4 linked regions of the Notamacropus eugenii genome follow. The protein of the gene in region 4 interacts with the protein of the main gene of each other region in a biochemical or structural test. Links are inferred from orthologs where the notes say so. Each region holds a gene or a part of one and is shown on either strand. Other genes may lie near its edges. The genes, in order: MAP3K8, DPF2, BCL3 and NFKB1.

Region 1 (7,873 bases), on a different chromosome or scaffold from region 4:
TAGAGGAGGGAGTTCCCTAAATGGATGAAGTCACAGATGCAGTTTAAAAAAAAAGACCTCCCAAAAATCTTAATTTCAGATTGCAGGTCTCCGAAAAGCTAAACAATTTTGCAGTCAAACATTAAATCTTTTGATCGGGCTCACCTCTTAAGTTATTCCAGTGTAAACTCTTGAGACAATCTGCAGGAATTTAAAAAGCATGCCTTTCACATTGGCATCAGCTGAGCAAACTGTGAATTCTGTGGAATTTTCCCCTGCTTCCTCTCTGGAGTCATGTGAACTCATGGACTTTTTTTTTTAAGAAACATATTTGATTAGTAAGTCAATAAGCCCTCCCCAGCCAACAGCATGCTAAGTAGAGTTACTTTTGTGACAACTTCTGTTTTTCAAGCCTGGATTGTATAAGAAGAAACTGCAACTAACTGTTCAATGAAACCAAAGTAGTATCCATGTTCTGTTGGTCACATCCCTCTCACTGACATACAAACAGTATGGCCCTGAGGACCAACTTACAGTCTTAATACTTCTACAGAAGCAGGTGAAGTTTCCTGAGATGCTTTTTTAGTTGAATACATAATATACAGATGCCTTCTGAGCTAGTATCAAAACACATGATAGTGCAGGTACCATTAAAATTCTATATTAAAAACAAGCAAAGTGAGATCCATTCTTGGACAGAATGAGAGCATGCAGCTATAGAAAGAATGAAATAATCGCAAAGTTGTTCTAGCATAGCAATCGATGCTTTGTAGCCTATGTAAGCCAAATGCAATGCCTCCCCTCTACAGAGCACAAGCAACTTAAGAGACAGAAAAAAAAAATCCCTACAAAACTTTACACCCAGAAGAAGGGAGTACAGTCATTTGCCTCAAGTCCTCAGGTGAACCCTTTAGTAGAGGTAACCAATACAACGTTTTAGGTTAATTTCAGTTAAACTGACATTAAAATTGGAGTCAGAAGTCCTGGCTTCCAGTCCCTACCCTGCAACTGGTCAGCTGTCACCTAAGGTTAATATCCTTACTTACAACACACTTCTCTAGTGCCTAAACGATTACTTTCCTCCTAGCAGCCCTTTAAGGTAGGGAAGTAAGTAGTGTAAGTATTATCAACTGTGTGACATTTGAGAAACCAGAAGCTCACAAAGTCTCACATGCATGTACTCTCTTAAGAATACTGGTGGAAGTCCCAGACCAGCACTTTCACACTTCACACCTTATTAGCCTTTGTGTATTCTTAGCAGTAAAACAAAAAAACAAAAACAAAAAAAAAAACAAACCAAAAGAAAATAATATTAATCTATTTACCTCAAAGTCCTGGAGAAGCAAAAGAGATCAACTATTTGGCTTTGAAAACTGCAGCCCCCTAAAAACGTAAGGTACATCTGCAAGAATCTTGTGAGATGTAGGTTGCAAGATGATTACTTCCTTGCAATCAATGGTAAGAACCCCTCAGTAGTTTGTATTAAACGGAGTTTCCGGGAGGAAAGGAGAAAAAAAAATTTAAAAAAAAACTTTACTTAGTGGTCAATTACTCCAGGTGCAAAAATTTCTGGCTTTAATATGCAAATGAAAGGTGTACCCTTTCTCCCAGGTCCCAAAAGCACTTCTAATCCCTTAATAGAGACTATTCAGAATAAAGCCTAAGGTTGATGTATTTTAATTAGGCTGAAGTACTGCATTAGTTAATCACAGAAAGCCAAAAGATCTATACTGGAGAGAAAAACTGGTTTGAAGGTCATCAGACAGTAAGCTCAACGGAAAACCTTCGGATGAGACAATCTATTTGGCCTATATAGATTACTCAAAGTAATGGTATGTAAAGCTGATGTATTTTTAGTTTCAAGGAACAGCCCCTTATTTTGGTTCAAACCACCCACCCTCCAAGATGAAAATTAGCAAGTGTTTACATCATTTCACACAGGCTCGATTGGCCTCTACCCTCTCCCTTCCTCACTCCCTTTTGAAAAATCCCAACTAACAGCTTAAAGCTTAACCTTCAACACTTTCAGGTAGAACCTGTCAGTTTGAGCCCTCGAGGACCGGACGCTGGGTCTCTGGGTGTCAGGAGAAGGAGAGCAGCCCTCAGACAGCAAGTACCTTCCATGAAGTTTTTCCCCTCTCCGGTTGATACAGCCTTCCTAGCCTCAAAGCCCAATCTTGACACTATGACGCAAATGCCCTTTAGAAAAGACTCGGAGCAATTGAGTCCGACTCCCCAAACCCCCAAACGCCCTCTCTCCCCAGCCCACCTGCCGTCCCCACCCGCAGCCTTGCTTCCATAGGTTTTTTTCCTTGATTAAAATGATCAGTCCCTCGAGGACCTGCAGTTTCGGGATAATTCTTAGGATTAAGTCCACAAGATGCGTCGGGTTGATGTGTTAGCAAGTTAAGGCTACTGATATTTTAAAGGCGCGCAGAGAGCAGTAGCGGCCAAACCCCCCAGACTCTGGTCTGGGTCGCACTCACCTGGAACCGAGCTCCCCGGCGGCCGTGGGAGGGAGGCGGGGCATCAATCCCACCTCTCCCGGGCACAGCCCAGACCTGCACTACCAACCTGGAGCAAGTCTTGCGGACAGCAGGGATCCGGGAGAGAGAGGGAAGGGGGCGGGGTCGAAAGACTGCCACCAGTTAAGAGTTTCGCAAGGTGCTTTCCAGCGGGATCGCAGCATCCCGACCGGGTCCGAGAGGAAGGAAACTCGGCGGCAGCAGCTGGTTGGCAGATCCAGCTAGCCCCGACCCGAGGAGTTCCCCGTCTCTTCCCGGCAGCCAGGCGGAGAAACACAGCGACAGAGGAGAGAGGCGCTGCCCAAATAAAAAAGAAGTCCCCTCCCCCTGCACCCGAGTCCCCCAGCGCCCCCGGCAAGCGGCCGCTTGGCGCTTCTCTCCTACCTGGAGTCCCCGTGCAGCCCGGCGGGCGGGCGGCTGGACCTCTCCAGGGGGAGCGGGACCCCGGCCAGGGCCGAGCACTCGCCGAGCGACTGTCTGGCCGGAAAGCTTCGACGTGAGCGGCGAGGGGGTGGAGCAAGAGGCCAGAGCCGCGGAGAGCGCCGGGGTGCGGGCCCTGGGTCTCCGCCCCGGCCAACGCGAAGCGGCCGCTGCTTAGCCCCGAGACGCTGCCAGCTCCTTGACTCCCTGCGTCTGAGCCCGGCGACGGGTGGCGCTGCGGAGAAGACCAGGCGACGCCGCCCCCTCCTCTTTGGTGTTTTCCATTTCCCTTTTCTCTGTGTAATCAGAAAGAGGTGGCCCCGGTCGCAGGGGAAGCCTGCGTCCCGGAGTGGGAAATTCCCCCTCCCCTCTAGGTGTCTAGGCACTAAATGCACCCGAAAAGATTGGGGGCGGGGCCAGGGGCGGGACTTAGGGCACCGGGAAACCAGAGAGGAGACAAGCGAGACGATCAGAGGGGCACCATGGACTCTACTGGGGAATTCCCAACTTTTTCTGGAAGGGAGCTGCGAGACCGGAAGCAGCTCCCCACAGCTCCCAGCTGTAGGGACCCACGGACTGCCACCTCCCCTCAAAAAAGAAAAAACCCACTCCTGTGAAGAGTGAGGACACCCTGCCCGGGTGGGTAGGAGGAGCTGCGGGCTTTGATCTTATCTCCCAGTGCGAGCTGGAGAAGAGAACAGAGTGCGGAGGGTGTGGATTCTTCCCCCCCGCCCCACCAAAGAGTCTGGAGGAAGCTCTGTTATTCCAAGATCTTCCTTCCCCACCCTTAACCTCCCCACCGAAGGCTCCTCTCTGCACCGCCTCTGGATTGGACCAAAACATGTTCCCATTCCACTTCATTAGCTCAACCACTGCATCTTCAATGGCACAAAAGGAGATAGACATAGCTAGCTAGATCGATGGATAGATCTTACCAAGCCAGCTTCAAGAAGCTTACGTTTCAGATCTAGAAAGGGAGCAAAGGTTGAGGCCCAACTCCCCCATTTTGCGCGTGAGGAAACTGAGGTCCCCGACGCACGTTAAGCGCACGTTAAGTGGCTTGCTCAAGATCTCTCATAAGTATTCTAGGTGTCCGTGAGGTATTTGAGCCTAGGTCCTCTGACTGCAGTCATAGGTCTTCCTCCGGTACCCCATTGCCTCCGACTACTGGATTTGGAGACAGAGGACCGAGGTTCAACTCTCAGCTCTGCTGCCGTTTGTAATAGACCCTGGACAAGTTACTTAACGTCTTTGGGCCCTTGGAGGAGTGATGTTAGTAACTGCCTGCCTAACAGTGCTGGGAAGACAGCTGAGCTCCACCCTCAGCTGAGTTCCTCACTGCTGGGAACGGCCTGCTCCCTCCCTTACCCCTGAAGCTTTCACCACTATTCCCCCTCCTCCCTCCTCCTTTTCCGCTGGCAGCCGCTCCATTCCTGGGTCGGGCCGGCGGCTGAGCCACTCACTCTTGGCCCCGGACCTCTTTTTCTGAGCCAATTGCCAGTAACCTGCGCTTTCCACACCCCGTCTTCCCACTTAAGGAATGCAGCGATTTGTATTAATGGTCATTTTCTCAGCAACTCCTGAGTATGCGGCGGCAGATGAACGCAAGAGTCAGCCGGAAGCTGAAAAGCTTAACTAGACTCTGCAGCGTCTGCACGGATAATTGGAATCGAAATGCTTTGGGGGGACTTTAATTAGGACCGAAATTCTTAACACCTGTGATTTGAGGATTGCGTGTGATACTTGGTGGAAGGATTGAAAGCACTTGACAATATTTTGCTTTTGAAATAGAAAACGCTATGTTCTAAGAATTGAGGGATTTCGGGCGGGGCACTGGAAAGTTTAGCAGAGACCGCATTTACACGAGCTGTTCATTCTTTCTGGCCTCTCTCGGTGAAAGAACTTTGGGGCACTCCGCCCGGATTCCCTCCCCAAGCATCCGACGGGCAACTGCAGCCTGGACTCTCGGGGTGTTCTACCATAAGTACTGATTGATCTGGTCCTTCCTCCCCCAACTTGTAAACACAGAATAGGATCCCTTATCTTAGCAACTCCTGTGAGGTTTAACTTGTGGCTGGCTGGGTAAAAAGAACTGCGAATAAAACTTGAAAATGACTGGAGCTCAAAATAGAAAAAAAAATGTATCCCACTCCCTTTTTTGCAGAGGCTTCCCGGGCTTTCTTCAACGCTTGGCTCAGCTTCCACCTTCGGCAGGAGGCCTTTTCTGGTCTCCCGACTCCTCTGACTCGACTTCCTATTTATTCTGTAGATATCTCTATGTTCATAATTGTTTACTTGATGTGTCCCCCATTTGAATGTGAGTTCTTTAAGGGCGGAGACCATGTCCTTGCCTGCTTGTAGCCTTAGCGCTTAGCACCGTGCCTGGCACTTAGTAAGTGTTAAATAAATACTTGTGGGCTGACTGGCTGAGGGACTGACCCGAGGACTAACGGTGTGGAGTATTTTATATACCTCTAGATTGTATTGATGTCTTGGTTTTGATTTTCATTTTTCCCTTTTTTGTTCTTTATTACCTGGGATGGTGGTAACTCTTTAATTGGGTGCAAAGAGGACAGTGAGGGGGGGTGAAAATGAAGATGTAAAAACAAAAGATAGCAATACATTTCTCAAAAGATAGAAACTCAGTTAAGTCTTTTTCACTGGTGTAAGACTGAGGTTAAAAAGGGGGGGGGGGGGGCTTTCACAATCTTTTTCTGTATGTCCTTGGACAAATATTATGATTTCTCTCTGCTCTACAGTAAAGTAGGTTATGAGGTTATGACTGGGATCATGTTATCATAATAACTCCAAGGGACATTAATAAACACTTTGCAAATACTGAAAGTTGCTTAATCAGCAGATTGCTGTTAGGTGCGTGCTATATTTAGCAGATTGGGGCTTGCAGAGTTGATACTTCCTAACTTCCACCCCCAATAGAACAGTTATTGAAATTATTACCTAAGAGTTAGAATCATAGTCAAAAATTCTAGGCAAGCAACATGGAAGACCAGCTTTTAAAGAAGAATTTAGTTGGGTGAGGGAACATGTGGGGGAGTGGAAGGACCATAGGACAATGAAGGCCCTAGGGTAGAGGGAGTAGGAAAGGTAGGCAGAAGTCACCTAGGTTGTGGGGTAAGGTTCCTTATTCTAGTTGACCAGGTGCAAAGTCCAATTATTTCTATCTGTATAAGGAACAGAGATTTTTCAGTGCCCTAGGGAAAACTTCAGTAGCTATGGCCCTATCCTTGTGAAAGGCTGTGCTGGGAAATCATACTACAAAGTGAATGCTGTATGGTAGGTATCCAGAAAAGAGTGGAGCTGACCTTGGAGTCAGAGCCCTAGGCTCTGTTCCCGACTCAGATACCAGCTGTGTGACTGTGGACATTATCACAATGTCTCTGAAACTCAGTTTCCTTATCCAAACATTAGGACAACATTTCTTCCACCTTCCTCACGAGGTGGTGAACTAAACTTTGGAAACCTTAATGCCAGAGCCCTGTGAAGTCAGTAATTTACGTATTATTACCTCCATTTTGCAAAGTAAAAAAGCTTATTGAAGGGTCAGAGAATTAAGTGGTTTACACAGTGGCAAAGTCAGAATTCAAACTACATCCACGATTTCAAAATCAGCTAAATCCAAACTCTCCCATCTCACAGATGAGGGAACTAAGGCACAGAATAGTAAATGATTTGCTCAAGATTGCTTGGCAGTATGTGGCAGTAATTGGATTTCAATTTAGATCCTGTGACTTCAAATTCATGACCTTCTCCGCAGCCACCCCTGTCCCCCCAACCCCTGCCAGGGTTCTTTGCATTCTACCATTCTGCCTCCAAAGTAATAACTGGTGTCCTGGCAAGGGTGACCTGGGCCTGGAGGTTGGACGTCGAGGTTAAGAAGTTGAACCAGGAGGCCTGAATTCAACACCTCTGGTCTATTGTGGAGAAAGGCAACTCAAACTCATAAATGCAGAATGGATTTGACCAGAACCACACTGGTGACTGAGGCTAGGGAGTTGATTTACTCTCTCCATAGATTCTGGCTCCATGGTACCTGAAGGTGAAACCATAGGTTGCAGCAAGTTCATTTCAGTTCAATAACTATTCATCGATCATCTGCTATGCACAGCACATTATGTTAGGAGGGGAGGGGCAGAAGGAACAGGGGCTCCTCTGCCTTAGGTAATTTATAAAATAGTTGGAGGGGGGTATGTCACACACAAATAGCTATAAAGTCAAATGGTACTTGATAAGTGTTTCAGGGAGGTGCTCCATCAGATCCAGGGTTTCCTCCATTTCTTCAAGACTGTTGTTGTGTTCATCCTTTGTTGTCAAAGACCATGCCATCAGAGAAATGATGACATGACTTGCACATGACTTTGTTTTGAGTGAGGGAGGGCTGTGCAGGTCACCAGCCTTACTTCTCCAGAGTCATCTGAATCCAGTGATCATCATATTCATCAGGATGACTAGAGATGACCCAGGATGCACTGGGAGACCTTGACCCCTTTAGGCCAAGGTCTTTGCTAGCATTCACCTAGGGTGAGGTAATGCCCATTCATTGAGTAGGACTGTTTAAGAAGTAGCTAGGGTATGGCCCCTTTAATGAGGCAAAGAAAAAGACATCAAGCTGGGAAGGAAACAGCAACAGTTACTATTGATAATCACACTTAAGCCAGGAGGGTCCAGAAGAGCCCTTAGGCAGGGGGTCAGTGTTGTCCGAGCTTCAGAGTGCAGTAAGTTTAAGGTTTTGGGAAAGGCAAGGCAAGGCAAAAAATCTAGCCAGTAAAACCCGAGTCAACTGGGCATCTTCTGACCATCCAAAATTACCTTCCTTCGGAGAAGAGAAGAAAGGGGAGGAGAAGACAGACAGGAGGGGAGGAGCTGAATTACCCAGCTAGCTGGGTCCCTGTTCAGGCAGCTGCATCTACTCAAAGGTTGTTGTGTTCGTC
Region 2 (7,506 bases), on a different chromosome or scaffold from region 4:
GGCAACTGTAAAAGGTTAACAAATATGCAATGACCAAAAATTAATTAAAAATTTAAAATTGTGATGAATCTGCACTTTACACTGTGCATGATCTCCAGCCACACAATGCCAACCAACACAGTCCAAACCAAAAAGAGGTTGCAGGTGGGAAAAGTTTCAGAAGCTCGGGACCTACATGTCCCTAGAAGTCACTTCCAACTCCAAAACTGTCATTCTTGCACCTGAAACAAGCAGAATCTGGCTGCCAAGATTAGATTTAGAGCTTAAAGGGGCCCTAGAAGTCATCAAGTCAGATTTGTATTCAGGTTCTGCCATTTAGAAATTCTATAGTAACTACTATCTTCCAGGCATTATCACTTTAAAATTATTTCAACTGATCACAACAACCCTGCCAAGTAGGTGCTGTTATCTCCATTTTACAGATGAGGAAACTGAGGCAAACAGCAGTTAAGTGACTTGGCTAGTGTCTAAGGCCAGATTTGAACCTAGGTCTCCTTGACTGCAGCCCTAGCACTCTATCCATTCTATCCAACCTTACCTCCCTGGGACTCAGTTTTCTCATTTGCTAAAGGCTAATAATGATACTTCCAACCTCATTGCACCACTCTTCCATAATGTATGGAGCTAAAAAGGGGCTTTGAAATTATCTGATATAAACTCTTCATTTTACAGATGAGGAAACTGAGATCCAGGGAGCACAGCGGCTTGCCCAGGTCATACAGCCAGTGGGTAGCAGAGCTGGCCTTCTAAGCCAGGTCTTCCCAGTTCTTTCTACTCCACCCAAGGACACAGGGGTGATGTCTATACACATCTTAGCTTTGCCCAATCCTGCCAGCTGTAAGCACTCTCTCCTTCTGGACATTTTATACACACACACACACACACACACACACACACACACACACATACACATACCCATATATACATACATACATCCTCTGGACATTTTGTATAGGTATACATACATATATGTACGCATACATACATATGTACATATATCTTTAATTCAATTAACTCAATTTGTTCCTTTCTAATTTTCAAGGAGTTTGTTGCCTGGGCAGATTTGATGCCTCTTCTGCCAAGCTATTCATTTCCTTTTCAATTCTTTCTTCCATAGCTCTCATTTCATTTGCAAAAATGTTTTTAACTCATTAAAGAAAAAAACAAAAAAAACCTGCTTCATCTTTTCCAGGAATTCTAGTTGAATGTGTACCCAGGTTGTTTCTCTTGAGGCTTTGCTTGGAGATGTTTTGGAGTTATTCTCTTCTGCCTTGGTGATAGCATCCCTGTCACTAAAATAGCTTTTTATGGTGGGATCCTTTTTTGGGGGGCAGCAGGTTCATTTTTCCAGCCTATTTCCTGACTTCAGGCTTGTATTAGGGCCAGACTCTATGTGCTTTTGGAGGGAACATCTGGACTGGTCCTGTTGCTGTCTTCTTAGGGTACTGAATGTTATGTTATTCCAGGATCTCAGGGACAATTCAAGCTGGAGACCCATAAGCTTTCAGTGCTCCCAAAGTGGTCTAATCCAAAGCAAAATCTAATCGTTGTCCTCCTCAGCCCAGCCCAAGTCTGAGCTCTATAAGTTCCTGACCACGGTTTGGGTCTGAGCATCAGTAGATGCTGCTGGAACCAGCCCCTACCAGTCAGCTGGAACACTCTGTGCGTTCAGAGTGATAGAATTATAGGCTCCTCTTTAGACTGAGTTTCCTGCCCTGGTTACTCTTCCATAGGCTGGGCAAGAAGCTGGAACTGAGATCCTGCTCTTCTTCTGAGATCTGAGCCATACTACTGCTGCTGCTGATGGCATCTAAGCTTGCCTCTATGTACATCAACTCAGGCCCTCCTCAGCTGCTCCTTACCCCAGAATGCCATCCCTGAGAACAGGTCTCCTCCTCCATCCACCTTGATCTTAGACCTGGAACTGATTAGTGTTGGCACCTGTTCCTCTCCTGCCACTCAGGGGTGGGTCTGACCTCCTTTCACCCTGGTCCACAACACTGGAGGGCTTCTGGCCAGATCCCTTTCTGTCTATTTTCCTAGACCAAATTGGGCTGGCAAAACAACTCAATATGATTTTTTTTCATGGATTTCTCCATCCAGATTAGATCTGGCACATTTTCCAGATCTGCTTAGGGAAGGTGGGGGATTGGGACCCTGGAATACTGGCTGTGAGGCCTCCTGCTACTTGGTTCCTCGGTTCCTCCATCCTAATAAGGAAAGCGGCAGCCCAGAGAGTGTCATTTGGATCTGGGAAGTTTCAGGATGGTACAAACAATGGAGGAGTTCATCCTTTTGAGGAATAGCAGAGTATGGATTGATTATTTTTCCCAGCACAGTCAATTAATAAACTTTATTAAGCACATACCAAACGATGCCAGGTACTGTGCTAAGTGCTGAGGATGCTACAGCCCCTGCTATTAAGGGGTGTACTGTCTCATGGGGGAGATGATGTGCAGACAACTATGAACCAACAAAGAAGACAATGGCATTAAAGGCGCATCTAGAAGCCTTCAGGTAGAAGGTGGGATTTTAGTGGAACAAGAGGTAAAAGTCATAGCTTAGGGAAGGGATGATACCTATGGCAGAAACCTGACCAGAGACTACTGGGGTGTGTCTAGGGGTCCCTCCCTACCCTGATCTACCTAGTCAGAATCCAAAGTAGAGAAGCAAAGTCAGAGGCAGAGGGTGGGGATGAACAAGTTAGCCCTCAGCAGCATTGCAGAAAGATGGTCAGAGGGCATCAAATCCAATCACCCTGAGCTTGAAAGTGGGTTAGAGTCAGCAAAAATTTATACTTCTAGATCTAGGCCTGAAAGGAAACTTAGGAGTCATCTGGCTTCAAATACTCATTTTATAGCTGAGGAAACTGAGGCCCAGAGAAGTCACCATTAAGAGATTTACCAAGGTTCACTTGTGTGGTAAATTATTTCTAGGATTTCATCTCTGGTCCTGTGACCGCAAGGTCAATGAGTGCTCTCTCCACTGAGCATCAATAAAATTTTTTAACTTTGGGAATTTTTTCGATATTAAAAAATTATAAATCAGAGGTTTAGGGCAGTTAGGTGGTGCAGTGGATAGAGCACCAGCCCTGGAGTCAGGAGGATCTGAGTTCAAATCCTGCTTAAGACGCTTGACACTTCCTAGTTGTGTAACCCTGGACAAGTCATTTAACCCCCATTGCCTTGAAAATAAATAAATAAATAAAAGAGGGTTTGAACTGATTAACAACAATGTTGTTGTCCTTTGTTCTTGAAGAGGACCATGACATCAGGGAGGTGATGCTATGACATGCAGGTGAATTGGATCGAAGTGATTTTGACGAGACTATGAGTGTAGAATATTGCAGCTCCTGCCAGACACAAGCTGGTGCATGGATAGCTTGGCTAAACCGTTTTCTTTTCTTTCCTTCTAATTCTCTGTTAACAGAGCCGGCAAGGCAGGTGAATTCTTACACCTCAGAAACCGGCAATCCCTACAAATCAGCGCTTGATTTGTCGTTGGTTTCTTAATTGACTACATTTTAAAAGTGTTAATAATCAGATTTAACTTAAAAGTGTTTGTGCAAATCTTCCCCCCTCCTCCCCCCCGGAAGCCTGTTTGTTCCACTACCATTATCTTCATGGTCATGTTTGGAAATGAAATCCGTGTGAAAATGGAAGAAAACAGGCATGGATACAAAGTTGCAAAGGAGATACAATGTAACTTTTAAAATAAGGGCAACTTTGTATGTTTGTATACGAGCCTGTTCCCGCGAATTCCTGGGCGGAAAAATGGGAGGCAGGGCGGTCCTCAGGGGGCAGACCGGTTTTTGCCCTTCTGGATATGCCCAGGTTAGCAGGTGCCCGGTAAACAGTAGGCGTTTAATAAATGCTGGCTGCCCACGGCAAAGGAAAAAGTTTAGGTTTGAGTTACTGTTTTCAGTTGCAGCTACTTTCCCCTCCTCGCTCCCACCCTGGGGGTCCCTTCCACAATTGAGGAGCCCCCAGAGGACGCTGGAGGTGAAGGGGAAAAGGGCCCCCCCGGCCCGAGGCAAGGGACTCACTGCAGTCCCAAGGCTTTTGTCGCTTTCCTGGAGTCACAGGCTCAAACCGCGCGTGCGCACTGGCTTGGTTCTGTTCCCTCCTACCCGGTACTGGCTCGGCTCCTGCTAATGGGAAAATTACCGCGCTTGCGCGATGGAGCTGGGGCGGCGGGGGCGGGGGGGGTTGGGGAAGTGGGAAAGATGGCCGACCTTTTTGGCGCCTGCGCGTTGGAGCAGGGAACTACGAGCCGGCTTCTACGTGGAGGCGGAGGAGACGGAGAGAGCTTCTGTTTGGAGCTTTGGGGAAGGCGGGGTGGAGCGCGTCAGGCCTTCGGAATCGGCGCCTGCGCGCTGCGCCGCGGTGCGGGCGCGCTCTCCGGCCCCGGCGCTTGCGCGCTGGCAGCCTTGTCCTCCTCTCTGCACGCCTGCGCGCTGGGGTCGCCGCGGGGGCGGGAGCGGGGAGCGTGCGGACGCGCGGGCACGCGCTTCGGGCTGGGCGCCTGCGCACTCCGACCCCGGGGGCTCCCGGGCTGAGGGAGAGGAGGAGGGAAGATGGCGGCCGTGGTGGAGAATGTAGTGAAGCTGTGAGTGGCGACCGCCGTCTCTTCAGAGCCGGGGCGGGCGGGGGGGGCGGGCCCGGGGCCGCGGAGGGGGGCGTGGCGGCGGCGTGCGCGGAGACGCCGCCGGGGCGGGCGCGGGGCGGCCGGGCCCGGACGAGGCCGTTGGGCGCCGGGCCGGGGCGCGTGGCAGCTGCGGGCGCGAGCACTTCCAGCGGGGGCGCGCGCGGGGCCCCGCTCCAGCCAGGCGCGCCCCCGAGGGGGAAACTGAGGCCCGAGCTCCGGCGCCTGGAAAGGGACCTTAAAGGGGGGGTCGTCTCGCCTGACCGAGGAAGTAAACTGAGGCACGCGGGCAGTGCCAGGGCCAAGGTCACGGAGAGAGTCAGCGGGAGGGATCCTAGAGACAACCACGGTCCCACGTCCCATTTGACAGATGGGGAAACTGAGGCACAGAGCGGGGCCTGGACGGGCGCCCCCGCCCTCCACAGTCCCTGCCCGGTGCTGAGGCTCGTCCTCGGGGGATTGGGGAGGACCCCCGGGGGGCGGCCTGGGCTGCCCTACGGGGTCCTCAGGAGGTGGGCCTGGCACGAACACCCCCGGCCAGACGCAGAGCCACAGGATGCGCTTTGGGAAGGAAGGAAAGGGGCACCTGTTCACCCAATAGGGGAGTTTTAAATACAAAGGGGGTCCCCCCTGCTTGGGGTTCTGGAATGAATGCTGAAACCGGGTGCCAGGGAAGGCTGCAGCTCTTGGGCCTGACCCACCTGAAGAAAGGAAGGAGGGCCGGCCGTATGGCAGGATCCTCCTGTTCCCAGGGGGCAGGCCAGGGGCTCTTCCTTGAATCCTGAGGAGCTTGCTTCATGCCGTTGGCCAGGGGTAGAGGCATCTCAGAAGTGCGGGCAGCCGTGAAAGGTGGCGTGGCCTTGGCATCTTACCTGGGAGCTTAGCATGAAGTGGGCCTTGAATTCACTCCACCTCGCCCAGGAGTGGGTCAGCAGAACTCCTGTTCTCTAGGTGCCAGCTAGATTTCCAGCTGTTCCTTTTTAAGCGGGTGCAGGGAGTTGGAAGAGAGGGTTTTTCCAGGGTTCTCAGGCCTCTGTCCTTGCTTTATGGTAGGCTGCAAGCTGCTCCCTGGACGGGAGCCTTTTTGATGAGGGAGAGCATGCCCACTGCCATTCAGCTGGGTGCCCTCCCTCTCCTGGGTTAGTTGGAGGGGGCGGCAGGCTTCCTTTCTGCTCAGCCACCCACCCATCCCACTCCATCATCATCCTCTCTGATGTGCCCACTCCTTTTCCCCAGTCTCTCCTCAGGCTGGCATTTCCCTCAGTTCAGAGAGGATCATGCTAATCTCCCACTCTGTCCTTCCTGACACAAAGGTTCTCTCCCCCCTTTTCCATCCTTTTCCTTGGGTTTGTACCCAGCACCCCACAGGGCCCAGAGGCAGTTTCACCGATTTTATACTGACGTAGAGGGAAATCCAGTTGTTCTGAGAAAAGCTGACTCTTCTAGATCCCAAGGGGAGCATGGAAAGAAGGCAAGAGGGAAAGAAAAGCTAAAAAAGGGAAGTTTCTTGGGGTAGGCCTGTTTTGGATGGGTGGCAGCAGGCACCTTCAGGTGGGGTTCAGGGGGTTGGCAGGGTATCTCCTGAGACAGGCCTTGGTTTCTCCATCTCACCTCTGAGGTAGTCTTGGGGGGTGGGGTTGGGGTTCCTGATACCCTGGCACCCTGGCAATGGGGAGCCATCCACCTCCTCCTTAGTACCTGCTTAGCCCCCTGCTGGGGGCTGCTGATGACAGTCAAAGTCTATTGACCAGGCTTCTCTTCCAAGGAAGGGAACTCCACCTTCTTTTTCCTGTTCCTGATCCCCACCCAGAGAAGCAGCTGTTGTCCCCTTGCCATGCTATCACCAGGCTGGTTTGTTTTGGTTTTTGTTTGGGGGGGAGTACTTAGTTATCTGACAGTTTAGTCTTAATTTGACAAACAGGACACTTCTGGGCTTTATTTGTGATGGGCTCCTGAGCTGGGACTCTCTCTCCCTGGCATAAGAAATGAAAAGGAGATCTCTTCGTAAGGGTAGCACCCATTGTCCCCAAACACCCATCTCTCTCTTAGCTGCTTAACAGGATCTGACCCTTCTCTGTCCAGGGATCCCTTGCTGAGTTCTCCCTCCCCTGTCCCCCAACTCATTAGGAGCCATGTTCTCTGCCCTTTCCCAAATACATAGTGTTCTTTAAAAAGCTGTGTGGCCCACCTCCTGGTGTATGCCTGAGGTACCCACACAACCTGAAGGCTCCAGGATCTCCCTGCTCACCTTCCATTTCTTTCTGAACGTCACTCTCAATTCCCATCAGTGGAAACAAAGGAACTGCGCTCTTTAGCCTTGTTTATCCAATTTTATTCTCTGATGGTGAGAATGTGGAGGCCGATTTCTGAAAGCCAGCTAATATGGACCCATTGCCTCCTCCTCACATAAGAGGCCTACCTCAAATTACAGTAATTACAGCTCATTGAATTAAGCTGGGCTGGTGGCATTTCTGCTGCTGCCTTTCTGTTTGTTTTGGTTTGGGGGTGGGGATTTTTCCCAGTTGCTCAAAGCACCAAATTATTGAGAGCTCATCAGATCATGGTGTGGGGTTTGAGGTGGTTTATGTTCTGGGCCTTCCCAGCCAGGACACCCAGAGGCCCCTGGGGCCCAGCTTGATTCCTCTTGGTGACATTTGACTTGGCTCAGCTGGTGTCCTCTAAGGTAGAAGAGGGAACAGACAGGTCAAAAGGGTCCCAGACAGCTTTCTGAGCCTTCCCTTGAAGCCCCTCCTGTCCCCCTACAGCCTGGGGGAGCAGTACTACCGAGATGCCATGGAACAGTGCCACAATTACAACGCCCGCCTCTGCGCCGAACGCAGCGTGCGCCTGCCCTTCCTCGAC
Region 3 (6,939 bases), on a different chromosome or scaffold from region 4:
CTTGTCACTCCCCCAAGCAGCGTGGGGATTTTTATCCAATCCCAAAACTAATTTCCTTTGCTTCCTAGGGGTCTTCAGGGGCTCCCTGGTCCTAGTGATATGGCAACACTGCCCTCCAGGAGATCTCTGCATACGCAAAGCACACAGGGTACCCCTCACTTCTCAGTTTCCACCCCACATTCCTACCCTACTCGGAAATTTAGACAGGATGACCTCCGTGGCTTCCTGGACCTGCTGAGGGGATAAGGGAGGGGCCTTTCCCAGGGCCTTAGGACTTCCCTTTCTCTGGGCTGGAGGCCCCTGGGATCAGGGGAGCAGAGCCATACCTTCTGCCCTACCCTGACTTCTGGGGGTCACTCTGTGCCCCCCAAAGCTTCCCACCCCTCGGAGCTCTCCCAGGCTCTCTCAATACTCCTCTGGCTTCTTCACATCCTTTCCCACCTGGGTTGCCTAAGGCTTGGGTCTAGCTAGGTCTACCTCAGTGTCTCCTCAGAGAAAGCCTTAAAAATGCTTCCAGAAAAGAGGAATTTCATCTTGATCACCCTGGAAGAGATAGGGGTAGCCTTCCAGGGTCTATGTTGCAATAACCCCTCGGGCCTATGGCTCCAAGAAGATTAAATGTTGGCAGCAGGCCCTGGGGTGGGGCAGGGTGGGTTCAGTGCCAGGATAAGGCAGGGAAGGCCTAGGGGGAAGGAAGGCGGGGTGGGAAGGGAATAGCTCCTCCTCCAGGAAGTTGGCCCCGATTCATCCTCTGACTTAGGCCCAAGTTTCTGCAGAATTCAGGGCCTAGGACTGAGTCAAATTGTTGCTTGGGCAATTTGAAGGAGAGGCCCTGAATGTGGGGCCTGCCTAGGGTAGCCACCAGAGGCAGGAAGCCCAGGCCTCCCCTCAGAGGGCTTCCAAAGCAGGGAGACTGGCCATCTAGTGAATCCCCGAGGACTTCTTAGACATGTATTGAGGTAGATTTGGAAGGAGAGGAACATGATTTGGGGAGACAGACACTTCCTAACCTTCAATGATTTATACACACGGGACTTGCAGCCCAGAGTAGGGAAAGTAGTTTGACTCGAACTAGTCAAAGGATGAAGTTCAAAAGCAGGCTGTCTGAGGGAAAGGAACCCGGCCCTCTGGGCAATGGGAGCCTGGAACAGGGGAAACCCCTGATTCCCCTTGCATAGATCCAGTGAATGTCACGTTTCCCAGAGAGTGGCACAAAAGGGACAGGTGAGAGTTAATTAAAACCCCTTTCCAGGGTCTATTTTGAGGAGGGGACAAGTTTATCATACGTGGTCTCTTCCATTCCCATTCCCGACACTAGAAAGAGGGGCGGGAGGAGACTCCCCAAGCCGGGACTTTCCTGATCTCCTGGAGATTCTGGGAAATCAGGCCCAACAAGAGGGGGGGAGATGGGGAGGAAGGGAGAAGAGCTGGGTCACCTCTGACTTCCCCCTCCCCAAACAAGAGCTGCTCCCAGACTCTCCCAGACCTTGAGATTCTCCTCAGACTCAGCCTTTCCCTAGATTGTATTCTAGCCCTCTTCTAGCTACCCCCACACACACCTCAAACCCTCAGATTTTCCTTGGGCCTCAGACTGCATTCCTGGGCTAAACAGAGGGAGTACAGCCCCATCCTACCCCACCAGCCCCACAGCAACCCAGAGCAACAGAAACAAAGCAATTGAGAGGGAGACACTGGAAGGGACAGACAGACACTGCCCTACCCAGTTCAGCTCCTTGAACTCTGACCTGAGCCCAGAACTGTCCCTACCACTAGCCACCACATCCCTTGTTAATAATTGGCAGTGAGGTGGAAGAGGTGGGGGGAGGAGAGGAAAAGGTCGGGTCCAAGTCCAAGAGAAGGTCTGATTACAGCTCGAGGTGGGAGGAGGGTGGGGCACACTCACTTCCATTAATTTGGTCTCAGAGAAAGGAGATGGGACCTGGGATTACACAGGGAGGCAAAGAAACAGACCCTGAAGGCAACATATTTAGTAATAAATAAGACTTAATTGCAACAGAATGGAAACACAGAGGGAAATCTTCAAACCTGAGGAAGGGGGCCATATAAAATCAGAAAGACAGACAGAGGCCTCATTTATGAGACTTTGGGCTGAAAGGCACCTGAAGCTGTTCCAACCCCCTTCATTTTACATGGAAGAAATCAGATTTAGCCATGGGAAATGACCTGCACAAAGGCACTCTCCTAGTAAGAGGACTGTTTGAATGCTGATTTTCTGACTAAATTCAGTGCTCCTCTACAACTCCATGCTAGCACTGGATTGAGAGACAGAGACAGTTAAGAGATGAAGGGATGGGAGCCAATGACCTTTTAGACTCCTTCCCAACCTAAGGATTCTGTCATTCTTGGAGGCTCAGAGAAAGATGGGGAGAAAGAAACTCTGGGCATATTTTTCTGGGGCACGGGAGTGGGGAGTGTGTAGCTCTGGGAAAAGGGGGTGGGGGGGATAGTGAAGGAATTGGGTCCCTTCCTCCTTCCCTTCTGTGACTCAGTGACCCGGACTCAACCTCAAGCGGGGAGGGAAAGAGCAGAAGAAAGGGTTGGGAGGAGCCTCGCCCCTGGGGAAAAACGGGAAAGCCCCGGTTTCTCCCAGCCCCCCCTCTCCGCCCCATTGCTGGAGGGAGTGGAGGGAGACGGGAGAAGGGAGAGCAAAAAAAAAGGGAGCTAGCGAAAAGTAGGGAAACCCACAGAGACAGAGCTTGGAGACAAGGTCAGGGAGACAGACAGACAGACCGGATAGAGACACAGGTATACTAGAGGCTGAGAACAGAAACGTCTCGCCTTTTTCCTCTCCGCCCCCCCCCCCCCCCCCCCCCAGTCGCTTTCTCCCTCATCCTCGTCCCTGTGAGAGAGAAAGGAGAAAGAGATCTAGGATAAAAAAAAGAGAAGGGGGACCCGGTTCGGGTATGCAGAGAGGAGGGGCATTGAGTGGGGGGAGAGGGAAAGCAGGGGGAGGGCGGCTCCAGGGTTCCTTCCCCTTCCCTCCCAGGGACTCGGTGACTCATCCTCCCCCCAACCAGCTGGGCCTGTTCCCCACCCCCACCCTTGGGCCGCTTCCCTCTGACCTCGGTTGTCCCGCTCCTCCCCCACCTTTGGTCTCTATCTAGGTCTTTGCAGATTTGTGTGTGACTGTCTTTGACTTTCTCTCGCTGACTGCCTGGATCTCGGCCTTTCAGTCATTCCACAGGTGTCTGCCCCGCCTTCCGCTCCCCCTCTACTCCCGCCACCTGCCCCCACCCCTCCCTCCTGGAACATGGGTGGAGGAGAGAAAAAGGAAGAGATCGGGCAGAGGCTTAGAGAAATGGGCAGAAAGCAAGGGGAGTGGGAGGGGGCCGCGGGCGGGGCAGGGGAACAAAGAGGACTGGACAGTGTTCGGCGCGGGGGGCGGGGTACAGCCAGCCATCCAGGACCGGGGACCCAGAAGGACAAACCGAGATTAGACCCAGAGACGGCCGAGCGGGCAGGGTCGAGACGTGGAGACTAGGCAGAGACAGTGTCTGAGATCAGAAAGGACAGACAGATAGGGAGAGACTCAGAGACAGACTTAGAGACGTCAGGAAGGAGAGAGCGAGAGAAAGTGTGTGTGTGTGTGTGTGTGTGTGTGTGTGTGTGAGAGAGAGAGAGAGTGTGTGTGTGTGTGTGTGTGTGTGTGTGTGTGTGTGTGTGTGTGAGAGAGAGAGAGAGAGAGAGAGAGAGAGAGTGTGTGTGTGTGTGTGTGTGTGTGTGTGTGTGTGTGTGTGTGTGTGTGTGTGTGTGTGAAAATACGGAGGAGAAAAACAACACGCCGGGAGCGAGAGAAGGGGCGGAGAAGCCCGGAGAGACTTGAGCCCGGAGCCTCCAGGAAAGCCCGAGAGGGAGGGGGCCCGGCCAGCCCGGGGAGGGGGAGGGCGGCGGGGGAGGGCGGAGGCGGGGGAGGGCGGGCGCCGCCCCGGCTCACAAAAGTCCCTTCAGCTCAGCTGGCTGGAGGGGAAGTCCCTGGTGTGCTGCTCGCTGCGCTGATATCTGAGCGGAGCCCAGCCGGGCTGCAGCCTGTGCCCGGCGGCAGCCACCGGGCCTCCCTCCCAGACGGGGCTCCGTCCGCCCCGTCGGCTCTGCACAACTCCCCGCCCTGCCTCTGCCCCGGCGGGCCCCAGGGAGACCCGAGGCAGCCAGGGGCCCCGGCCATGCCCCGATGCCCCCGGGACATGGACGACGGGCCGGTGGACCTGCGGACGCGGCCCAAAGTCGGAGCCCCCGACTCGGAGGCCACACTGCCCCTGAGAAAGCGGCGCTACCGGGAGCCCCAGGAGTCCCCCGGGCCCGGCATCGCTCCAGCCCCGGAGCCCGCGCCGCAGAGCCCCAGCACGTACCCTGGCCTCCCGGGCCCTGCCACAGCCATCTACTATCCTGGTGAGTGAGGGGGACAGAGATGAACTCCCACCCCTGGTAGCCCGGGCACCTCAGCTCCTACCCGAACTGGGGACTCTCCTCCAGGCCTCGACCCTTGGCTCTACTCGTGCTTTTCTGGGCACCCTCCGCCTGTCCTGAGACAGGCGTCCATTGCCCAAAGCAATTTTTTTCCGACCTGGGCTGGGTACCCTTGCCTGACATTGATACCTGGACATCTTCCACACATTCCAGCTAGATCCACCCTACCCTAACCTAAGCACCCTTGTCCCAACCCAGCCTGGTCCTGGGGTGCAGGTGCTCAACCCAGCCTGGGCACCTGCAGCCTGGACAACTGCCCTTCCTCACCCTGTCCTTGATCTGGGCACCCTGGCCTGGTCCCTACCTGGGCCTCCTCCCTCTAGGTCTAAAACCTGTCTGTCCTCTCCCTGACCCCCTTACCTCTTCTGATCCCACATCCATCCTAACCTGTCCTCAGCCAGTGCATCCTCCCTGACCCCCTCTCTCCATTCCAAAGTCAGCACATCCTCCATCCTGACCCTGCTCCCCAGGTCTTCCCATTCTCAACCTAATCTTCTGCCCAAACCTGGAATCCCTTTCTTCCTTTCCCAACCCCTGCTGTCCTCACTTCCCGACCCAATCATCCCATGCTTCCTGGATCTTTATCCAGTTCTCACCTTGCCCCCCCACAAGGCAACCCACCCTTAACCTGTCCCCCCAAGGCTCTGTCCCCCACCCCAAGAGCAAGGACATTGCACAAACTGGTTGATTCTAGTCACAGTGTGACGTGACCCTGAGTCACCCAGAAAAACCACAGAGAGCCCTGCCTGGGCATCTACCCCCCTCAACCTGCACACACATACACAAACCCTTAGTCCATCCCCAGGCTCCTAGAAGCTCAATGGAGAGAACCTTGAGATAGATGTCAATGTAGTTTTAACGCTACCATGAACTTGTTCTAAGACCTTGGGAAAGTCCTCCTCTTCTCTGGCCTATTTTGTCGTGTGTAAAGCGATGCACTTGGACTGTCTCTAAGGCATCTTCAGACTGGTGTTCTGAAAGCTCCAAAGCCTCATAGATGAGGGTAAATTGTAGAAATGTGGAGCTGAAAGAGACTTTCGTCCCAGCTCTTTCATATTACAGTCCAAGAAACTGTGGCCTGAACTGCCCAAGGTCATCCAGGCAGCCTAGTGGAAGAGTCAGGGTTTGAAATGATGTTCTCAGACACACATATGTTCTCTTACCGTTTTCCCACAGTACCTGTAACTGGCTATTAGGTCTGACTTTCTATGGTCTAAGCTCCTATCCCACTCAAAGAGTCTGAATTTCTTTGACATTCTCCCTCCACACTCAAATGTTTGCCTTCCCTCCCTTTCCTTATTTCCCTCTCAGTAATAATTGTAAAGCACTTAGCACAATGCCTGGCACCTAGTAAGGCTATATAAATTTTAGTTACGTAGTAGTCCTAGTATTAATACTACTACTAGCTACAGTGGTACTAGTACTAGTTGTCGTGGTAGTATAGAAGTAGTACTAATTGTAGTGGTGCTCCTACTAGTAGTAGGAGTAGTGCTAGCAGTAGTACGACTACTGCTTCTAAAAGTAGAGGGGGAAGAGGGAATCTCAGAGCCTCACACCCTCTCCCCCACAGGCCCCTTCCTATATCCTGCACCAGCCCCATTTTCAGTACTGAGCCTGCCACCACCCACCTACCCAGTGCTCTGCCCCCTGGAGAACCCACTCACCGCTGACATTGCCAAGGCCACAAGACCAGATGAGGATGGAGACACGTGAGTGACCTTTGGACCTCTACCTCCTCTAAGGACTGCCATACACCCCTCTGCCTCTCCCCCTTCCACGGACCCTCTTCCCCCCCATGACCCCCTCCCATTCCCCTGTGCTCCACTCCAGTCTCCTTCTCCCCTTAAGAGCTCCCTTTGCCCCAAGTCTCCATCTCCCTCCAACAGCCATATGCCCCTTGATTCCCCTCCCCCTTCTGTGTCCCTTTTCCCCTCTGTTTCACTCTCATCCTCGCCGCACAACCACCCCCCCCCCCCAGCCCCAACACAAACACTTCTGCAGTGGCTGCCTCCCGGGGAAGCCCCAGACCGCAGGACACACCACAGCCCCAGCTGCTCCCCAGGCCTGCGTCAGTCTCCCCCTATACACACACTTGGCCTTAACCCCTTCCGCCCTCAGCTCCCACTGCGAGGGAGGCAGGCATCACAGGGCTTACTGGAATGGATCAGCTCACCCTTGACCTTAGTCCTAACCCCAGGGACCTCTCCTGCTCCATAGATCCTGGGGTGGGATGCTGGGGCTGGGTCCCCACATCACTGAACCCTCAAAGCATCAGGAGTAGAGAGGATTTAATGCCAGGGTCTGAAAGGAGATGAGAGCCCTAGAGCTAGGATCCTGGGTCCCAGAGGTAAATGAGGCTGGGGGTAAGGAGGAGGAGCTCACTGTCCAGGCCTAGGAAGGGAATGAGCCCCATCCTAAGGGATACCTCGGTCCCTAGAAGGAACCTGAGGGGGC
Region 4 (7,480 bases):
TTTGGCTTGTGGTAAATACTTGGGCAGAGTAATTCACATGTAAAAAGTGATTTAAAAAACAAAACAGATATTTAAAAAAACAAAAGATGAAAGTTTTGGAAGTAACCTTAACAATACAGAAGTAGAGAAAACAATCAGAGAAGAGTAAAACCTCAGTTCTAGCTCTGCCTTTCATTTGCCATGAGCTTAGACAAATCACAACCTACGTGGACCTCACTTTTCTCATCTGTAAAATGAGAGGGTTAGACGATATGATTTCTAAGGTCCCTTCCAGCTATAACATCTGTGATTTCTGTCTCCAAAAATGATTCTGAGGATAAAAAACATTTTTAAAAGACGTTACCAAAGATTTTTGCTAAGAACTCAGAACTCACATTATTTTAGTCACGATTTAAATAAATGCTTTTTCATTCATTCATTGCATTTGTATACTTGTTGAAGGTAGACCTTCTTTCATATGAAACTGTCTTTCTGACTGAAGCTCTCCATAGTTCAGGTGGACATTTTGCCAAATAAATTTGAGTTGAAGGTCTATCAATATTGAGTAGATAATTATAAATAAAATCTATTTGACTGAGCATTTCAAGAAAAGTCTCTTCCCAGTACATACGTTCTTTGCATTTCAGCAATTCAGTTGTATGTACTCATGAAAAACAAACATAACATATAATCAATTTCTCTTCCAAAATTCTTTCTTTCCAAACACACTAGGCTCAAGTTAATTATTCAACTCTATATCAGAGTACATATAGAGTAGACATTATAGAGAAGACAGTTTAAACAATTCAACTGGTCTGGAATTGGGCAGCTACCTCATCATTTACCACCAAGCTGTTCTCCTGGACTTCATCATCATTTCCAGGAACTCATTTTCAGGAAAGATGGAATCAACTCTGAAGCTCAAGTCTTCTGAAATAACCCCAAGTCCAGGAGGGGTTCTAACTGCTGAAGGTAGAGGACGGACATAGAAGACCTCCTCCCAGATCCTCCCCCACTGCCCAGGGCACCACCATGCTTCAGAACGCCCTGCCTCACCATACCCTCCAATTTTCAGCTTCTATTTAAGTATTATTTTCTCCATTATATTGTGAGCTCCTTGAAGGGAATGACTATCTTTCTGTCTTAAGAGGCTGACATATGCGGTAGGTACTTTAAAAATAACTAACTTCAAATAACAGGATGTGAAGAATTGTAAAATTAAGTCTTAACAACATACTTCAGCTGAGTCCTTGCATTCTGATCAAGTTTTCATTCTAAAGGACAAACAGGCAAACAACAGTGTCTTACTCAGGAAGTTCAGTAACTACCAAAAGTAACAATGTTACACCAACTGGGAGTACCTTGCTTCCCAAACAGTGGGGAAGAGCAGGCTTCTGAGAAGATCACTGGCTTATTCTAATATAGTAAATGATTCAACTGCCACCTTCATGTTATATTCCTAGACTTACCATAGGAAATAGACCAAGATTTGGAATCAGCTAATTTGATATAAATCCATTAATTGAACTTAAGCCCTAAACTGGTAGTTTCTATTGAACCTTCAAGATACTCTAAAAACAAACGAACAACTAGATTTGATATCCAGGCTATTTCAAATGTGAAACAGAACACTCAGAGTGCAAATTAATTTCACTATAAAAAGATCATACTTGAGAGACGAGTCTTAAACCTTTAATAACTTAAACTATCGTTATGCAGCGTTAGCTTAAATTATGGTTATTAAAAGTTATAACTGCACTCCGATTTTGGGGACACCCTGCATATATGCCAGCACCACCATGATTTTTTTGGATGACGAACTAACCATCGGACTCAGCACTTGATTTAGAGAGTTTACTAAGAACCCCCACTCCCTCCTTTTTTTCAGAATGCCTTTCGGGGGGTCTTGGAATGCCCCTATGGACTTAATATTTCTGAAAAGATAACCAGAGATCCCGATCAAGAATGGGCCCATTTTCAGTTAGAGGATGGCAGATAGTTAAGACTTGGAAACTAGAGGGTTTTCAAATAAAGAAAATCGGTAGCCTTCATTTCGTAAAACGTCCTTGGATAGAAATCAGATTCAGCACTTCACTCAAAATACCCTCCCCCCCCATACACACAAACGTACGCCCTTAGTCATTCCCTTCCCTCCAGACTAAACCTCCCCAAAAGAAAAATTAAGTCTCCTCAGCAGTCCAAGACGCCCAGATATTTTCATCTTTTCGAAAGGTTGGAGGAGGTGAAATGGGTTGGGGGAAAAAATACAATTGACCAAACCACATGGCCCCGGGCTCCCCTGAGCCGATTTGCACCACCCCCAGTCCCTGACTGCCTTTTTCCTCCTCTTTCACCAATCCCTTGCACCTCGCAACTGGTGTCAACCTCCTCCAGCGGGTCGGGCAGGAATGAGGAAGTCTAGACTCGGGGGGATGGCGGGGTGGGGATCGGCCAGTGTGGGGGGACTCGCACTTACTTGTCTGCCCCTTCCCTCCAGGAAGAGCCTCCCCGCTCCCTCGGCCCCAACTTTGGTCTTACCCTTTGGGGGAGCTGCTGTCCAGGGCCTCCCAGCTCGTCCTGGCTCCCCGCTCGGATCCGGTGAGCAGCAGTGGGGGGCTGGCCGGAGGAGGCAGAGGAGGCAGAGGAGGCGGCGGGCTGCGCGCGTGGGTCAGCCCCGCGGAGCCTAGCAGCGGGCAGCACAGCGCATGGCCCGCAGCCCGGGCCGGGGAGGCTAGGGGTGCCGCAACCCGAGCGCCCTGGCCCGTCCCGGCTCGCTCACTCGTGCGCTGTCCCCGGAGCAGCTCGGGCGGCCGACTGGACGGCGGGCGGGCGGGACCGAGCGACGGGAAGGGGAAAGGGGGAAGCTGTCAGCGCGTCCCCTGGCCCTCGGGTGGCGAAACCTCCCCTTCCTGCTCGCAGCTGCCGGGCGCACTTCTCTCTCTTTCTCTCGTTCACTCTCTCACTTCCTGGCTGGAAATTCCCACTGACGTTGAGCCGGAGAGAGCGAGCAAGGCCAGACGCGTACACACACTCACACACTTGCACACACACTCCCAGTCCGGGGGCGGGGGAAGCCCGATCTCCTGGGGGGCAGGGCTGGAGACTGGGGACCGGGGTCGCCTCGGCGCCCCTCTCCGGCCTCCGCTCCTACACCCCTTGCCCGGAGCGCAACGTCAGGGACGGGAGGAGGGACTTGGACTCGGCGGCGCGCGCCTTGTTCCGATCCCTTGGCCTCGTCTGCTGGAGCCGGCGCTTGGAGGCCCCGGGCCAGCTGCGGGGCTGGGATCCCGCGGCTCAGGCTGCGGTACCTGGGCGGGGTCCGCTGAGCACCTGCTGGGAGACCCCGGGGATCGAGGAAGGGTCCCCCACGCTTACGTTATTACTGTGGTTGTGCGCGGTGGCTGAGCAAGCCTGACTCGATTTCAAATCGTCCCCAAGTCTGCCTCAGTTTCTACATCTGTAACAATAGCGCCTACCTGCAACGGTGCTTGTTAGGATCAAATAATATATGTGTAAAGCGTTTTATTAACTGTAAAGCCCTATATAAACATAAAATGACATAGAAATATAAAATTAAATATAAAACTATTATTTTTAATAATAATTCACTTTATAACAAATAGAGGATTTGAATCTTCTGTTTGTGACCTCTCCCTCAAAAAAGATTCTTCACCTTAAATTCTGTCTGTAATGATTCCCCTATTGGGATGTTTATTAAAAGCATGTATTAAAAACCTCAACCTAGGGCTTTGACACGCTGCTTTCCTACACAAACATTGCCTCATTCAAGCCTGAAGCCCCAGGAGGTGATGTGAATAGTGTTTCTCCTACTATACAGATAAGCAAACTGAGGCTCAGAGAGATAGTTTCTTGCCCAAAGTCTCGTAAGTGGTAAGCATTTTGGGTTCCAAACCCAGTTCTATCACCACTCTACCATTATGCCTTCTCAATAGTCACAGCGTGTTAGATGACCAGCCCAGACCTCCTTTTTCTGAGGATGTGTAGGACTCTTGATACCTGAAAGGGGCTGCAGAAGCAGCAGAGTACAATACCTTTATACAATACCTGGTGCTGTGAAGATCCAATGAAATTATGATGTAATATGAGGCTTAAGTTTTATGTATAAATGTGATTTGCCATTTAGTCCCCGGAAGGTGCCATTTGCCTAGTGTCACACAAATAGCATAAGTAATAAAAGGGGATTCGAACCCAGGTCTTCCTATCCGGAGCAAGTGATCTTTGAGATTCTTCGGTGGCCTCTTTTGCAAATGATCAGACGCATTATGCTATATAACCTAAATATACCTGCCATGCATTTCTTCAATATCCTTTGCATGAACTCATATTTTAGAGAGGCAGTATGCTTCATGTGTACTACCAAATGTTGGGACTTAGCTAGAGGAGGCCTGAAATACTTCGGGTGGTCCTTCTGCAGGGGGGCCTTTGGCAAAGCCTGGGAAAAAGTCAGTCCAGGTGAGATGTGGATAGTGGATGGGGAGATCACAGATTCATTGACGAATAATAGCCTAACTCTTGGTGGAGTTGTGAACTGATCCAGCCATTCTGGACAACAGACCAAAAAGTTATAAAACTATGTCTATCCTTTGATCAAGCAATACCCCTACTGGGTCTGTATCCTGAAGAGATCAAAGAAAAAGGAAAAGGACCTTTATGGACAAAATTATTTATAGCAGCTCTTATGTGGTGGCCGAGAAGTGGAAACTGAAGTGATGCCCATCAGTTGGGGAATGGCTGAACAAGTTGTGGTATGATTGTGATAAAATACTATTATACTATGAGAAATGAAGAGCAGGATTATTTCAGAAAAATCTGAAAGAGGTATATGAACTGATGCAAAGTGAAGTGAACAGAACTAGGAGAAAATCATACATGGTAACAACAGTATTGTATGATGATCAACTCTGAATGACTTAGCTATCCTCAGCAATGCAATGATCCAAGACAATTCTGAAGGACTTAGGACAAAAAATGCTATCCACCTCCAGAGAAAGAGCTACTGGAGTTCGAATACAGATCAAAGCACACTTTTTTAAAAAACTTGAGTTTTAAAATTTTTTAAGACTTAGGTTTTTTCCTTGCCTTCTTTGGAACATAGCTAATATGGAAATATATTTTGCATGACTGCACATGTATAATCTATAGTAAATTGCTTGCTTTCTAAAGGAGGAGGGAAAGGAGGGAGAGAAAGAATTTTTAACTCAATTTTTTAAAATGAATATTAAAAATTATTTTTATCTGTAATTCAAAATAAAACAAAAGAACTATAATTGTCATCATCCCTAGAAAAGCTATCCTAGCAAGAAACAGAGATCATAGATTTTTTTTTTCCTAACCAGGCTTCTAGAATTCATACAAGAAGTCTTCCCGCTTCCCTCTTAATGCTACCTTCACCCTTGCTCCACTCCACCAACACAGAAAGAAGAGTTCATTTGGTACCATGTCTTTTTAACCAATCTAGTCATCATAAGGCAATGATGACCAAGATCTAAATGACTGGACTGGTAGCAGTTCCCTCTTGTGGAAAGATCTTGGCAAAGAGGCCTGGAAATTAAGGACTTCTTGGGATTTAATTCTGACTCTCATTTTCTGATTCCCACTCTAACAAAGTGATTAGCTCTCTGTGACTCCTGAATCTCAAATACACCCAGGACTGCTTCTGATTGTTACAGCTGAAGGAGGGGGCTGGAAGATGAAGCTTCCCAAAACAGAACATTTCATGGAAAAGTGAGGGAAGGGAGTTGAAGGTAAGAGGAGGTTTTATGGCAGCTGAGGGAAAAGATAAGTTTAGTTTATTTGTGTTTGAGGGATGAATGTAACCGCACAAGGACCAAACATTTAAATTTTATAAATGTGTTGTCCCACTTTTGAGTTCTATAAAGTTTATGACTCAAATGTTATTTCCTCTACAAAGTTTTCTTTGATTCCACCAAGTCAGTAAGGACTATTCCTCATTTCCAGGACTTTACCAATCACTTTGTTTTACACAAATTTGATGCCCTTGTTACTTATTGTTTTGTATTATACCTATCTGTGTACTAGTCATGCCTCCCTACCAAAACTGTGGATTTCATGAGAACAAGGACTGTGTCTTATCTAAACTGTATCTCCTTCATTGCCCAGTGTGGGGCTTTTAAACTTGTTGCATTGAAGAACTCTACTCATTTTATTCTCAGGAAAAGTTCTACTTCTAAGGAAATTGCTTAATATTTGTGTAAATCCCCATGGGAGAAAATAACCTTCTCTTATGGGTTGATAGAAAGCATGTTGTTATTAATATATTCATGAAGTCTTTTTTCTATCATAAGCTTACTCATGAAATGTCACCCTTCTGGGGTTAGGGAGGGGAGAGGTGGGAAGGGCACCAAAAGATGAGTCATGAAAAAGAACCTGGGGAAGTAGGTGGGGCTTATAGATGACAGAAGGTGGATTTAGTCCTTGGATTCAAAGTATAGTAGCCACTTTTTCTGTACTAAGGTGTTTAGAGCATGTTGCATCCTTCAGAACAGGAACAGACTTGGTTAGAACTTTAAGATTGGGAAGAGGTAGAGGAGTCTGTTTTTAATATCAACATGACCCAAACTGAACTCTTTACCTTTTCCCAACTACTCCTCCCAGTCCCTCAGGCTCACAGCCTAGGGGTATAATCCCTCACTCTTCGCTCTCTCTCATCCCCTCCCCCCCGCTATATCAAATCGGTTCTCGAGTCCTTTCAATTTTCCCATCTCTCATATATGTCCCCTTTCTCTCTTCTGATCACTCTGGTGTAGGCTTTTTTCAGCCCACACCCAGACCTGTAAGAGCCTGCTGGTTGGTCTCTCATCAGTACAGTCCATCCTCCACTTAGCTGTCAAACTATCCTAAAGAGTAGGTCTGACCACATCCCACCCCTTTCAATAAATAACAGTGACCCCCTGTCAAATAGAAGAAGCCCTGTTTGGCATTCAGATCCCTTCACCACCTCTTGCCTCTCTAGTCTTCTTACAAGCTGATTCTCACTCACATAATCTTTGATCCAGTGACACTGACCACCTTGCTCTTCCATGAGCAAGGCACTCCATCTCTCAACTCTATGTATTTCACTGGTTATCTTCTGTCCGGGACTCTGTCCCTCGTCCCCTCTTGCCTCCTGGCTTCCTTCAAGTCTCAGCTATAAAAACACTTTCTCCAAGAAGCCTTTCTAGATTCCCCTTAATTCTAGTGCCTATCACCTATTTGAGTATCTCTAATTTATCCTGTATATATCTTCATGTATTTATCCTGTTTATATCTTCATGTTGCCTCTCCTATTATACAGTGAACTCCTTGAAAGAAGCAAGATGTTGTTTCTTGCTTTCTTGCCTTTTAAAAATCTTTAGTTCTTAGTACTTCTGCCTGACACATAGTAGGCATTAACTAAATGTTTGTTGGCTGACCAACTAGCCTTGGAGGAAATCTCAATGAAGTAGAAAGACCCCAGCGTATTTCATTACCTCTGTTTTAC

Evidence for each region.
Region 1: the proteins of NFKB1 (region 4) and MAP3K8 form a complex in vitro, tested with the Homo sapiens proteins (2 studies listed by BioGRID and IntAct, with this or other methods). The link is inferred for Notamacropus eugenii from reciprocal best matches to the Homo sapiens genes NFKB1 and MAP3K8.
Region 2: the proteins of NFKB1 (region 4) and DPF2 form a complex in vitro, tested with the Homo sapiens proteins (2 studies listed by BioGRID). The link is inferred for Notamacropus eugenii from reciprocal best matches to the Homo sapiens genes NFKB1 and DPF2.
Region 3: the proteins of NFKB1 (region 4) and BCL3 form a complex in vitro, tested with the Homo sapiens proteins (2 studies listed by BioGRID). The link is inferred for Notamacropus eugenii from reciprocal best matches to the Homo sapiens genes NFKB1 and BCL3.

The regions. Positions count from the first base shown.
Region 1 is NC_092874.1:70,166,721-70,174,593, forward strand, and holds the start of MAP3K8 (mitogen-activated protein kinase kinase kinase 8), read right to left. Parts: upstream 3,003-7,873; 5' UTR 2,889-3,002; intron 2,794-2,888; exon of another isoform or gene 2,466-2,793; intron 2,219-2,465; exon of another isoform or gene 1,305-2,218; intron 1,272-1,304; exon of another isoform or gene 145-1,271; intron 1-144.
Region 2 is NC_092873.1:18,130,930-18,138,435, forward strand, and holds the start of DPF2 (zinc finger protein ubi-d4), read left to right. Parts: upstream 1-4,503; 5' UTR 4,504-4,576; coding exon 4,577-4,608; intron 4,609-4,767; exon of another isoform or gene 4,768-4,950; intron 4,951-5,455; exon of another isoform or gene 5,456-5,595; intron 5,596-6,002; exon of another isoform or gene 6,003-6,104; coding exon of another isoform or gene 6,105-6,115; intron 6,116-7,409; coding exon 7,410-7,506. UniProt on the Homo sapiens protein: Plays an active role in transcriptional regulation by binding modified histones H3 and H4. Is a negative regulator of myeloid differentiation of hematopoietic progenitor cells. Might also have a role in the development and maturation of lymphoid cells.
Region 3 is NC_092876.1:27,320,393-27,327,331, forward strand, and holds the start of BCL3 (B-cell lymphoma 3 protein), read left to right. Parts: upstream 1-3,938; 5' UTR 3,939-4,181; coding exon 4,182-4,407; intron 4,408-6,055; coding exon 6,056-6,194; intron 6,195-6,939. UniProt on the Homo sapiens protein: Contributes to the regulation of transcriptional activation of NF-kappa-B target genes. In the cytoplasm, inhibits the nuclear translocation of the NF-kappa-B p50 subunit.
Region 4 is NC_092878.1:140,834,708-140,842,187, reverse strand, and holds the start of NFKB1 (nuclear factor NF-kappa-B p105 subunit), read right to left. Parts: upstream 3,017-7,480; 5' UTR 2,518-3,016; intron 1-2,517.